Linked DNA regions of Arabidopsis thaliana. The protein of the gene in region 1 interacts with the protein of each later gene in a pairwise test. Each region holds a gene or a part of one and is shown on either strand. Other genes may lie near its edges.

The links. Proteins that work in one complex are often made in the same cells at the same time.
Region 2: the proteins of AT5G17210 (region 1) and NRAMP3 interact in a protein complementation assay, tested with the Arabidopsis thaliana proteins (one large-scale study listed by BioGRID).

What each region holds. Positions count from the first base shown.
Region 1 is NC_003076.8:5,653,776-5,659,774, forward strand, and holds AT5G17210 (transmembrane protein, putative (DUF1218)), read left to right. Parts: upstream 1-2,572; 5' UTR 2,573-2,743; coding exon 2,744-2,839; exon of another isoform or gene 2,840-3,103; intron 3,104-3,567; coding exon 3,568-3,779; intron 3,780-3,873; coding exon 3,874-4,195; 3' UTR 4,196-4,418; downstream 4,419-5,999. Other genes in the region: AT5G17200 (Pectin lyase-like superfamily protein), read right to left, coding at 1-153, 261-369, 464-753, 857-1,015, 1,167-1,301, 1,394-1,561; GSTF12 (glutathione S-transferase phi 12), read left to right, coding at 4,753-4,899, 4,965-5,013, 5,099-5,547.
Region 2 is NC_003071.7:9,854,330-9,861,410, reverse strand, and holds NRAMP3 (natural resistance-associated macrophage protein 3), read left to right. Parts: upstream 1-2,632; 5' UTR 2,633-2,845; coding exon 2,846-3,381; intron 3,382-3,822; coding exon 3,823-3,959; intron 3,960-4,051; coding exon 4,052-4,704; intron 4,705-4,785; coding exon 4,786-4,989; 3' UTR 4,990-5,262; downstream 5,263-7,081. UniProt on the Arabidopsis thaliana protein: Vacuolar metal transporter involved in intracellular metal homeostasis. Can transport iron (Fe), manganese (Mn) and cadmium (Cd). Regulates metal accumulation under Fe starvation.

The DNA of each region.
Region 1 (5,999 bases):
TGTTAAATGACAGTTCTGATAGCTACTAGATGACTTGCTTATTCCTCCGTTCGTACCTCCATTGTGGTAAGTCTGGTCTATGATAATAGGGTTCTCTGAGGCAACCATGTTGATATCCTCGAATGAGATTTTCCGAGCATATCCCGATCCGTTCTACAAAACATTCACGCCAACAAAAAAAAACAGATTTAGTTTGTGAAAATGCTGAATAAGACCAAGAACTAATGATGTATAATAAAAAAAGAAGATTAATGGACAACCTGGTATGTCTTGATTCGGACACCGTTCTGTGTTTTTGTAAAAGTGCAGTTCTTTACCCTCACTTCTTCAACAGTTTCGAAATCTCCAGTTACTCCAAGACTTCCTACGCTATAATATCAAATCCATACTATAAATGATTTAGCATGTACCTTGCTGTATATTATATGATGATTGTTTGTGAATCTGTGATTTTAGGAATCACCTGATACCGTGACCGGGGCCACAAAAAATGCCGGTTATGTTGATATGAGAGGAACCGCTATTAATGGCGATGCAGTCATCTCCAGTGGCAATCACTGAGTCATGTATGTGGACTCCTATACAGTTCGATATGTCAATACCATCCGTGTTTGGACTATCACCGGGTGCTGTCATCCTTAAACCCCTGACCTCGATGTTCTGTGAACAACTTAGACCTACATGGTTCCGAGGGCTGTTCAAATGTCGGAGATTAGATATCCTAAGACCATTACAGTTGTTGAAGTGCATTGCCTAAGAAAAGCAAGGAAGAAAAAGAAACATCATTAATAACTGAGAATAAATATTTGATCGAAGTTCATATTTATGGTTGTGAGGATCTTGCAAATGGACTTACGCAGGGGCGATTATTAACGTTGCCCCACCACAAAGAACCACGACCGTCGATGGTACCACCTCCGGTGACAACAAGACCATTGATACTGTCAAAACTAATCCATGTTGTGTATCTTCCCGCATACCAAGTGTAACCCGGTGCCACAAGATTACCTCTTATCTAATGTAAATAAATCACCAAATTATTTAAACATTGGTTCGAGTTATTGTCTACTCATAAGCTAAAATCGATCACTATTGAAATCATTCACATTAGGGCTGGATTTTCCAATATAATTTGAAACAAGAGAAAGAGACAAGTATATATATACCGATAAGGAGATGGTCGAAGACTTGCATGGACCGATGAATGTAAGAGGCTTAAGCATGAAGGTTTTCCCTTGAGGCACAAGAATCTTTCTATTGTGTCCTCCTTTGCATACAGCTTCCCATGCTTTAAGAAAAGCCTGAAATATATTGATACACATAACACATACATTAAAACAAAGGTTATACATACCACTTTGATACAAATAGTGATGATTCTATAAATAAACACCTTAGTATCATCAGTCTTTCCATCGCCAATAGCTCCGAAACTAGTGACACTTATGAATCCATTGCTTCCAAATCCGTTTTTAACCTTTAGAGATTCTTCTTCTAAGCAGAAACATAATTTGTTTATTTGAAACAAACATAACAAGACAAAGAACAACGAAGATTTCATTTTTGGACGACTCATATGCTTGACGATGAGAACGAATTTCGATGATAATACGTTTTCTATCTATATATATCTCTAAATGTATATATAGGTTTGTATAAAGAAAGGTGGTTAATTGAAAGATATTGCGTTTGATTTTGTGTTTCTATGGTAAGAGATTATCGCTAATCACTAATTTTGTGTGCTATAACATGGAAACTAATAATGGACTATAATTGAGATATTGAAATCTTTATAACTATGGAATATTCAAACTTATTGACGTATTTAACAAATCGCAAACGATATATTTTTATACCGTTTTGTTTAGCGATAAGAGTGAAAGTTTACTTATATGCTTGATTCTTTCTATTGCTTACATGCTTGATTCTAGGAATGAATTAATTATGGCTTATCTAAAGATAGAAAATAGATTCATCATTAACTTATGTCATAAGAGAGAAAGAGAGACCTATGATTGAATCATTTATATGATGAATATATCCAAGGCGGCACTAATCTTTTTTGATTCACAAGAATCTTTAGATTGATTAAACCAAAATGTAAATATGACGAAACCTCATAAGAATTTTATCAAATATAAGTCCATCTAATTTCTTTAATTAGATAAATAGTAAATTTGAAATGAATAAAGATAAATAATTCATGGACGAATAAAATACAAATGATAGAACAAAATTCTCATTTTCATTCTTTATATTTTTGGTCAAGAATATTGTCATTCTATTCATTTTTGAATTATAGTAAGAAACAGATAAAATGTGTTCGTCTTATAAATGATGAAACTCTTAAATAAAATAAAATCTATGTAACCAATAAGCTATTCTTATTTAGTTAAATGGAGGAAACTTTAAATAGATTAATTTTCTCTAAATAATTTCTTTGCATACCTCAGTAGCAAACCGGTCCGGTCGGATCTGAATTGAACAAATCAAACCAAAATCAGAAACCAAACCAAAACAGAGAAAATACATTTTATTGAAACTTGAAAGTACCATTACGCGTGGATCTATGTAATAAGGAGGAGAGAGTAGAGTACTTTGCCGACTAAAAGTGAGTGCGGTGTTTAATGGGTTTGTCACCAACTTTCCATTTTCTTACCAACGAAGAAGAAGCAGAAAAAAAGTAAACAAAGACTAAAAAAAAAAAGCCAGCATCTTCGGAGTTGGTGGGAGAGAGACAGAGATGGAGAGGAGAAAGATTGTGATGTGTGGTGTTTTATTTCTTCTTGGTTTATTATCAGCTGTTACTGCCTTCGTCGCTGAAGCTACTCGAATCAAGGTTTCTTCTTCAGCACTTTTTAGGGTTTCTGTTTTTTAGTGAAATTTGTGGTTTTTCTCATGATCTTTGGGTTATTACAGCCACAATGGTTTGTTGAAACTCTATCTAAAGGATTTTTGGGTTTTGTCTGCGTTTCTTTTTATGTGTCGATTTTGAAATTCATTGCCTGAAAATGCGTTTGAGATGAAAGCTTCAATCTTTGAGATGGGAGTTGAATAATAATTGGTGGGAAACTCGTTGGTTTGGGAATTTTTCAATGAAACAGTAATGGTCCCCATTCACGGTGGTTTTTGTATAGAAGAACTTGTTGATTTCAAATTTGGAAGATCTTTGAGAAGTTTAATAGTAATTTTTTTTGTAGAGAGACTGTGTGGTAAAGAGTTGTTTTCTGGTGTGTTTTGGTAATTGCATATGTATTGATATGTTTAATGTCAGATTCCAATTCAACTAAGTCTCATTCACAAGCTTTTCACAATTCACATATGTGTTTTTGGATTTATTGAACCAAAGTTATAGCCTTTCTTAATGGGGTTTATGTATTGGTCGATTCGGTTGAATCATCTTTTTTAGAATCAATTAGTCATATAGAATTTGCAGGGTATGTAGAATCAGTTTTATTCTCTTGAACTACTCTGTCTATTAAGAAACTTTCTTGGTGTGTATTTGTGCAATGTTTCAAACTTTTTCTGAAGGTTTTGTTTTTCATTTTTATCTTAAAATCGATGCAGAGATCTCAGGTCACGGTTACCGTTTCGGATTCAATCACAAAATGCACTTATCCAAGAAGTCCAGCTTTCAATCTCGGCTTCACTTCAGCTCTCTTTCTGATGATGGCTCAGATAATAGTCAGTGTCTCAAGCGGTTGTTTCTGTTGTAGAAAAGGTCCTGCTCCTTCAAGGTCTAATTGGATTATCTCCTTAATCTGCTTTGTTGTTTCCTGGTAATTCTCATCATTTCTAATCCTTTTCTTGCTTCAAGTTTCCTACTTATAATTTGCTTACAACTAGTGAGTGAGTGATTTCGCGTTACTATAGGTTCACTTTTGTAATAGCTTTCCTCGTGCTGCTTTCTGGAGCTGCACTCAACGATGAACACACCGAGGAATCAATGAATGCTGGTACCTACTTTTGCTACATAGTGAAACCAGGCGTTTTCTCTACCGGTGCTGTGCTTTCGCTTGTTACTATTGCCCTTGGGATTGTCTACTATTTATGTTTGACTTCAAATAAGCAAATTGTTGCTGCCACAACGACCCAAGGAACAGGAATAGCAATGGGGCAGCCTCAGATTCCAGAGAGAGTAGAAGATCCTGTTTTTGTTCATGAGGATACTTACATGAGAAGACAGTTCACTTAAAAACAGACAAAGCTTGCTTGTAAAGCACGTTAGGTTTAGTAGAAGATTTAGACAAAATGATTAACGGATATGTGTTTGATTAAGAGTATTGAAACTTTGTAATGATTGTTATTCTTGATTGAAGTAGAAATCTTTGAGAACCCCAAAAACGTCACTTAGTTTTGTAGTTTTTTTCTCTGAATCTTTCTTATTTATTATGCAAGTCAAAAGTGGTTGTTGGGAAGAGAAGTGTTCGTCTCATTTACAACAAAAATTCGATAGCGATATATAGTAATCGAAATTTTATTCCCAAACAAGGGAACTTTGTTATTGATAGTTGGAACTAAAAGTTTGTAGAGAAATTTCAATGATACATATCCACCGTTAGAGGAACAACCACCACATGTTCTACCCAACCCTCACAACAACCAGTTTCTTCAAATCTTGAGTCTAATAAAATGCCAACACATCTACTCTCATTTCTTCTCATTTATAAACCAGTTTGATAGACAAGATATTAATAAGTGCATATAGTAAAATCTTTCTTATTCGTAACAAAGTTATTGTAAACTTATAGAATGGTTGTGAAACTATATGGACAGGTAACAGCAGCTTGTCCACAAAGAGTCTTGCTTTGTTTTCTCGAGAAAGGAATTGAATTTGAGATTATTCATATCGATCTTGATACATTTGAGCAAAAAAAACCAGAACATCTTCTTCGTCAGGTAAAAAAAACAAATTTCTTAAACTTAAAACATAAATATATTATAATTATTGTTTTCATGTGTAGCCATTTGGTCAAGTTCCAGCCATAGAAGATGGAGATTTCAAGCTTTTTGGTAACATCCTAATAACAACATTTTATAAACATTCTTCTATCATTTTCTTTATAGTGTTTTGAAATTTGGCTCTTTATCTTCTAAGAATCACGAGCCATCGCGAGATACTACGCTACCAAGTTCGCGGACCAAGGCACGAACCTTTTGGGCAAGTCTCTAGAGCACCGAGCCATCGTGGACCAGTGGGCTGACGTGGAGACCTATTACTTCAACGTTCTGGCCCAACCCCTCGTGATTAACCTAATCATCAAGCCTAGGTTAGGCGAGAAATGTGACGTCGTTTTGGTCGAGGATCTCAAAGTGAAGCTAGGAGTGGTCTTGGACATATACAATAACCGGCTTTCTTCGAACCGGTTTTTGGCTGGTGAAGAATTCACTATGGCTGATTTGACGCACATGCCGGCGATGGGGTACTTGATGAGTATAACCGATATAAACCAGATGGTTAAGGCTCGGGGTAGTTTTAACCGGTGGTGGGAAGAGATTTCGGATAGACCGTCTTGGAAGAAGCTTATGGTGCTGGCTGGTCACTGAATTAGCTCCAATTTATGATGATCTGAAGAACCAAATAAGCTTTATAGTTTCTGTTTTATGTTTGTGTTGTTTTGTACGTTTCAGTAATAAATTCAATATACTTTTAAGATTCATGTCAATGCTAAGACCATAGTTCTCTATTCTTAAGTTTTTACTCTATTTTTGAGTGAGATATAAAATGGGGTTAAAATAGAAGTGGAGTTTTTACATAGTATACAAGGTTACTCACTTGTACTATTATTCGAATATAAGAAGAACTTCTTTCTGTATGTATATCACAAGATTATTTCATCAACCAAAAATTGTATATCCCCTCATTAGGCCAAGAGAACTATAACTAAAATAAAATTAAAAAAAAAAATACTTTTTTACATTCAGAAAGATAATGTAACATTATAAGAATTTGCTTCCCCATTAATATGTATATATTAGTTAACATAATAAATTCGAGC
Region 2 (7,081 bases), on another chromosome or scaffold:
CATACATGGTTACACATATCATGTTATGTTTTTTGTCAAATTATTTTAAAGTTAAACTGAGTCTGAATTGATGTATATACATCTTCACGGATGATTCGACAATGTGATGTTTCCTATGTCCATTATACTCCATATACATCGTACATACATCTTCACGGATAAATATCAAATTTATTTGCTTCTTCAAGCAAGCGTATATGTTTTTTCATACTTCCAAAAGTGTTCTTGTTTTTTAGTAAATGGAGTTTTACGTTTTTAGAGATTCATATTTCTTCTGCGCTGAAAAGTGAAACATAAGATAGGATAATATCTTCGCGCAGCCTGGGAAATGTAGATTGCTCTTTGAAAGTTGTGCCATCTGTTTTTCTTTTGGTCGTCTGCCATTCATTCTAAATAAAGCCCATTACATATACATGTATTTATTCAAAAAAAAAAATACTCAAAATGGTCCGTAAAAATAGAGAAAAAAATACGAACAACTATGTCAACTAAATATTTCGAGAGAAAAAATTATGTTGTTATCATTTTCCAAAAAAAAATAACCCGGAAACATCAACAAATAAAATGAGCAGACTTCTTTAAAATGAGATGATAAACACGTAATAATCTTTTAGAATTTGTTTTTTTGAATTTAATGCAAAATTATATTCAAAAGAAAAAAATACTGTTTGGTACATAGAAATGCATACTTTTTTATGGAAATCAAGTAAAGATTATCTATCCTTGACTTTTTAATTTTTATCTTTGATTTCTACTTGTTGTTTAATATAGTGAACCTATATAAAAGTTTGCGTTGTTTAGAATTCTGATGAATTGGTAAAGATAACAAACTACACGGGCATGTTCACCTCTTTTCACAATGCATTTTGATGAGCATGCAAACATTAACTATACATATCTATATATACATTTTTGCAGCCATTTTGTGAAATAAATCTTGTAGTTGAAACTTATTTACAATGGTTGCCACTGGATTTTAATATTTGTTTTTGATAATTAGAAAAAAAAATTTCGAATTAAATATTTGATATTTAACAATTTCCCTAAAATCTCTCTACATTAACTACACGATTGGTTACTAAAATAAAACTTTCAAAATATTTAATATCATTTAATTACTACAAAATTATCATTATTGATATTGTTTTTCTGCATGACTATTACAATTCAATTATAATCATCAAACCGTAGAGATATTTGATAGCATTTAATTACTAGATAATTTTAAAAATAAATGATTCATAAACATATGATAAATAAGATCAACATTAATAAAATAAAACGGGACGGGTTGGCGGAACGGGTTTGGCAGGACGTTACTTAATAACAATTCTTAACTAGAAAATAAAAATATTTTATAGATAGTTACATAGATAGTTACAAATTGTAAACTTTTATATATACTAATTTTAAAGTATAAATTGTCTCCGCGGTATACCGCGGGTGAAAATCTAGTATATACATATTTTAATAAGATATCTTTTATTATCATTTAATGAAAACATTAAATATGTACTTGTTTTTTGTTTCTCTTATAATTCAGGTACTTTGAACAATTAAATAGATAATTTAGCACAAAAGGTATACTATATCCATATAACATTATATTTGTAATCTATGTGCCATCCATTTCTAAACTTTGTAACTTTAACATAGTTGTTGACAATAGAAGTTGCACTAAAAGATTGTTTTTTATAATTATGTGTAAAGAATAATTTACAAAAAATTGGTGAAAGGATGGATATCTTTTGCAAATTTACCAAGAAAAAAAAAAGAAGAGAATATCGGAGGTGAGAGACGTGTATCCACGAGCCAACCATGTTTAATATCAGGCTTGGTTCCCACTATTGCATGACATGGCATCATCCCCATGGTTCTTTCGATCTCGCCAGGTCATCAACCTAAGTGGACCATTTATTTCGCATGATACACACCACCTGTTTATTTCTTTATTTGCTTTTTTATTCCCTATACATGCTTTTTGATTTTGATATATACTGTTCGAGGAAACAATACTCCTAAATAGTATAGAAATATTTTAAGAAGACAGAAATATAAATAATTATATTAAAAATCTTAACATTAGTTACAATATATTAATAAATTCAACAAACAGTTTATATATAGTTTATTCATGTTTGAAGCAAAACAAAGTTTAAAAACAAATATTTTCGCATGTTACTTTATCACAAAAAATGATCTAATTATACTAAAAATGATAAATTTATCGAATCTATTTAATATTTTGAAAAGGATTCTATTTACACTATACATATCTATGGACTACGATAGACATTTTTATTTTTAACACACGAGGCCACAAACGAAGGTATACGTGATGCATGAACACTGTGAAGTGTGAAGCTTCCTATATAATCTACATGTTGATGAACGCTCGATAAAATTATAAACCTAATTATTAGTCCAAAGAAATTCTACAAAAATTCTCTATTTAAAAAAAAAAAGATAGTGAAAAAATGTGTCCGTAAGTAAATAAGCGAATTAAATGTAAAATCTGTCCCAGAAAAACAAACAAAACTAAACTAGAAAAGAGAAATTTGAATTTACTTTTCCAAATTCCATTTACACATCAAAATTTTATTTATTTGTTTATGAGTGATTATCCGAATTACCTCCACCAAATAAAACCCTATCTTATTTCCCCCTAAATTATTAGAAAAATATAAAGTGATTAAGATTCTTTTGAAAGTTTGTGTTTATACTTTATCTTGTACTAAGAGAAACAGAACTTCCCTATAAAAAGCAAAAGCAAGTAAGAATAACGTGTTAAACTAAAACCTCGAAAACAACAAAACCCGAAACTGAAACAGAGAATCCAAAAAAAATGCCACAACTCGAGAACAACGAGCCACTTCTAATCAACGAGGAAGAAGAAGAAGAAACAGCGTACGATGAAACAGAGAAGGTACATATCGTAAGAAACGAAGAGGAGGACGATCTAGAACACGGCGTCGGATGCGGCGGCGCACCACCGTTCTCATGGAAGAAGCTATGGTTATTCACCGGACCTGGGTTTTTAATGAGCATTGCGTTTTTAGATCCAGGGAATCTCGAAGGAGATCTTCAAGCCGGTGCGGTTGCTGGGTACTCTTTGTTATGGCTTCTCATGTGGGCAACAGCAATGGGTCTTTTGGTTCAGCTTTTGTCGGCTAGGCTTGGTGTTGCGACAGGTCGTCACTTAGCTGAGCTTTGTCGTGATGAGTATCCTACTTGGGCAAGAATGGTTTTGTGGGTTATGGCTGAATTGGCTTTGATTGGATCTGATATTCAAGAAGTTATTGGTAGTGCTATTGCTATCAAGATTTTGAGTAATGGGATTTTGCCTCTTTGGGCTGGTGTTGTTATTACTGCTCTTGATTGGTAAATTCTCAATTTTTAGACATGTGTCTTCTTGTGTTATTGTTTCATTTGTCTGTGTTTGGTCCCAGTTTTGTCTTTTTGGTTTATGGTTCTAATAGCAGTTTAGCTAATCTAATCTATGGATTGTTTGAATTTGGTGTTAGTTAACCATTAGCTGTGTTAATTTCATCTTTACACATGAATTTTTGTCACTATGTGCTCATTTGGTCATTGATTCATATGTGTGTTTTGCTCAAAGTTTTGGTCTTTTTGTTGGAATCAGGAAACTCTAGTGAGTGTTTATGGTTCTAATTGTAATTTAGCTAATCTATTCTATGGATTGCTCAAATTATTATGTGTTAATTGATTAGCTGTGTTAATGTCTCGTGGAATTTCATCTTTCGGTGTGAGTTTTTGGTGTTATGTATCTCATTGATTCATATGTATGTGTTTTGGTCACAGTTTCGTCTTCTTGTTTCTTGAGAACTACGGAATAAGGAAGCTCGAGGCTGTGTTTGCAGTTCTTATCGCTACAATGGGAGTCTCATTCGCTTGGATGTTTGGTCAAGCTAAGCCAAGTGGCTCTGAGCTTCTCATTGGTTAGGCTTTCTTTCTTCTCTTTATCATTTTCTTAATGGAACAGTCTTTTAACTTTTTAAGTTCTGAAGAAGTTAGATTTCTCTTGTTGCAGGGATTTTGGTACCGAAACTGAGTTCAAGAACGATACAGAAAGCAGTTGGAGTTGTGGGTTGCATTATAATGCCACACAATGTGTTTCTTCACTCAGCTCTTGTTCAATCTAGAGAAGTCGATAAACGACAGAAATACCGAGTCCAAGAAGCGCTAAACTACTACACAATAGAATCCACAATTGCTCTTTTCATCTCCTTTTTGATCAATCTGTTTGTCACAACTGTTTTCGCCAAAGGGTTTTATAATACTGACCTCGCCAATAGCATCGGTTTGGTTAACGCGGGACAGTATCTTCAGGAGAAATATGGAGGCGGTGTGTTCCCGATACTATACATTTGGGCGATCGGGCTATTAGCTGCTGGCCAAAGCAGCACTATTACCGGTACATATGCGGGACAGTTCATAATGGGCGGGTTTCTTAATTTCAAAATGAAGAAATGGTTGAGAGCTTTGATCACACGAAGCTGCGCTATCATTCCAACTATTATCGTTGCGCTAGTGTTTGATTCATCGGAAGCTACACTCGATGTCTTAAACGAGTGGCTTAACGTGCTTCAGTCCATTCAAATCCCCTTTGCACTCATTCCCTTACTTTGTTTGGTCTCCAAGGAACAAATCATGGGTAGCTTCAAGATTGGTCCTTTGTACAAGGTTTGTCAATTTCGTTCAAACTCTTTTACTAACATTCTTTAAAGATCGCTTTATTAAGCTCGATCTCACCTTGTTGTGCAGACAATCGCGTGGCTTGTTGCTGCGCTCGTGATAATGATCAACGGTTATCTTTTGTTGGAGTTCTTCTCCAATGAGGTTAGTGGCATAGTCTATACCGGTTTTGTGACACTGTTCACAGCTTCTTATGGTGCATTCATCCTCTACCTCATTGCTCGTGGCATCACTTTCACTCCTTGGCCGTTCAAAGCGGAGTCTAGTCATTGAGACTGGACCAAACAAGACAGTGTAAGCGTAGTAGCTATGTCTTGTAATCCTTAGGATCATGAGTTCTTAGCTTTCTCTCTTGTATTATATGTGTTGTTGTTATAAAGCAGCTCTGGTTTTGTTGAAGAAGGCTCTTCTATGTATCAGTAGTTAGGTCCCAGAGACGAGAATTAATAAGAATATGTTCACATCTAAACCAATGTTGACACAGATCAAAAGAAACTTTGGGGAACATTCCCAAAAGTGTACATTTAATCGTCCGATCAGAGTTTCACAGTTTCAAGGATTCTCAAATACTTTAAAGTACATATTGTGGATATAGTCAGGGCAAATTCGATACACAAGGTAAAATGATGGAACCAAAATTTCCATAGATAAACACAAAATCTACTTGTTCTAATATGGTATATTATTAAGGGCTTTGTCCCGATCTATTACATTGGCATCTATGTTTTTGTTAATGTATTTTGGGAAGTGCAGTCTTGCTCATCTTGGCATTCATTGCCTCTTTGTCTTCCCTCTTGTTTGGAGTGGTTTGTTTTGGGTACAAACCAACGTCCCACATTTGAAGTTTAGAAAATAGTTTCCCATATATAAGCAAGTTCAACTTCAACTAGTAAGAGACATTTTGGGAAGGAGATCAATAACAAATCCTTGCGGATTTGAGCATGTAGATTCAAAAAGGACAATATTATACTAAAGGGGAGTTGGAATGGGCTTGGAAAGCCTAATAAATGGTGTTGAACGTGGGTTGAAAAAAATGGACCTAGGGCTTGGACTGTATAATCGGTGTGGGAGAAGCCTACCATGTAACACGATAAGAAGGATACCTCAAGAGAACCTCACAAATAAGAAGGTGTCGAGTCATGGTCCCAAGGTTTCTCTGAAGGGGACGCCCATGTTCGTGGTCCTTGGTTTGAAGGGGAGATTGTTGGGTACAAACCAACGTCCCACATCTGAAGTTTAGAAAATAAGTTTCTAATATATAAGCCAAGTCCAACTCCAACTAGTAAGAGATCTTTTGGGAAGGATCCCAATAACAAATCCTTGCAGGTTTGAGCATGTAGACCCAAAGAAAACAATATCATAGTAAATGGGAGTTGAAATGGGCTTGGGAAGCCCAATAGTTTGCGGATTGCACTGGATGCAGTCTCTCATGAAGTCATTGGGATCGACTTGTTTCAATCTCGCTTAGCTTCCTTTGTGTTGTATCTTGCATTTATCCCTAGTTTATCTTCTTTTGAAATATTGTTAGGCATTTCTTGCCTTGTTACCTTATATTTTCCCTTTATTTGGATTGTATTTGCTCCTCTTTTGACTGAGTCTGAGACTTAATTTGAATGAAAATTATGGACCAAACAAAACACACAAAATCTACTAAGATAAGTGAGGTGAATTAGCCAAGAGATAAATCCATAGATATTGGCATGTTTTATGTATATATATATATATGTCTGATTACATATATGGAAGAACAAATATTACTTAGGGGATTTTGGAAAAATGTATTTTGATACAAACTTATCTTACAGTATAACCGTTTATATGTTCAAATATTTATAATATTATAAACGTTTTCTTAATTTTAAATATATGAATTATAATGTTTATAACTCTTTAAAACCTTAGAAATGGAGATGGTACATATCCTAAAAATCTTTACATCAATCGAATTTTCAGACAATCATGGCCTTTATGGCCTTTCATTTGAAAAAACTTGTTTATATGTATTTGAACTATATTATGTGGGAATGTTTATTAACAAACCATTGTGAGTTTATATCAACAATTTATTTTGTAAAAGTAAATATATAAAATGTGTTTATTAATGTAAAACTTAATACATTGACAAAAGAGTAAAAGTTAATAAAATCTAAGCAAACGCAAAATATCAAATCTAAGAGCCTTTTAAATTTCTTTCAATCATATTTATATTAAAACAAAATAACTTTATAAAAATTATTTCTCCGTATATCGCCAGTTTTAATCTAGTTATTAATCAATTAATCCATCAAATTAAATGAGTTTATGGGTTGACCCATCAAATAAGTTGAGTCAACCCATAAACTCATTTACTAATTTTTTGGTATTC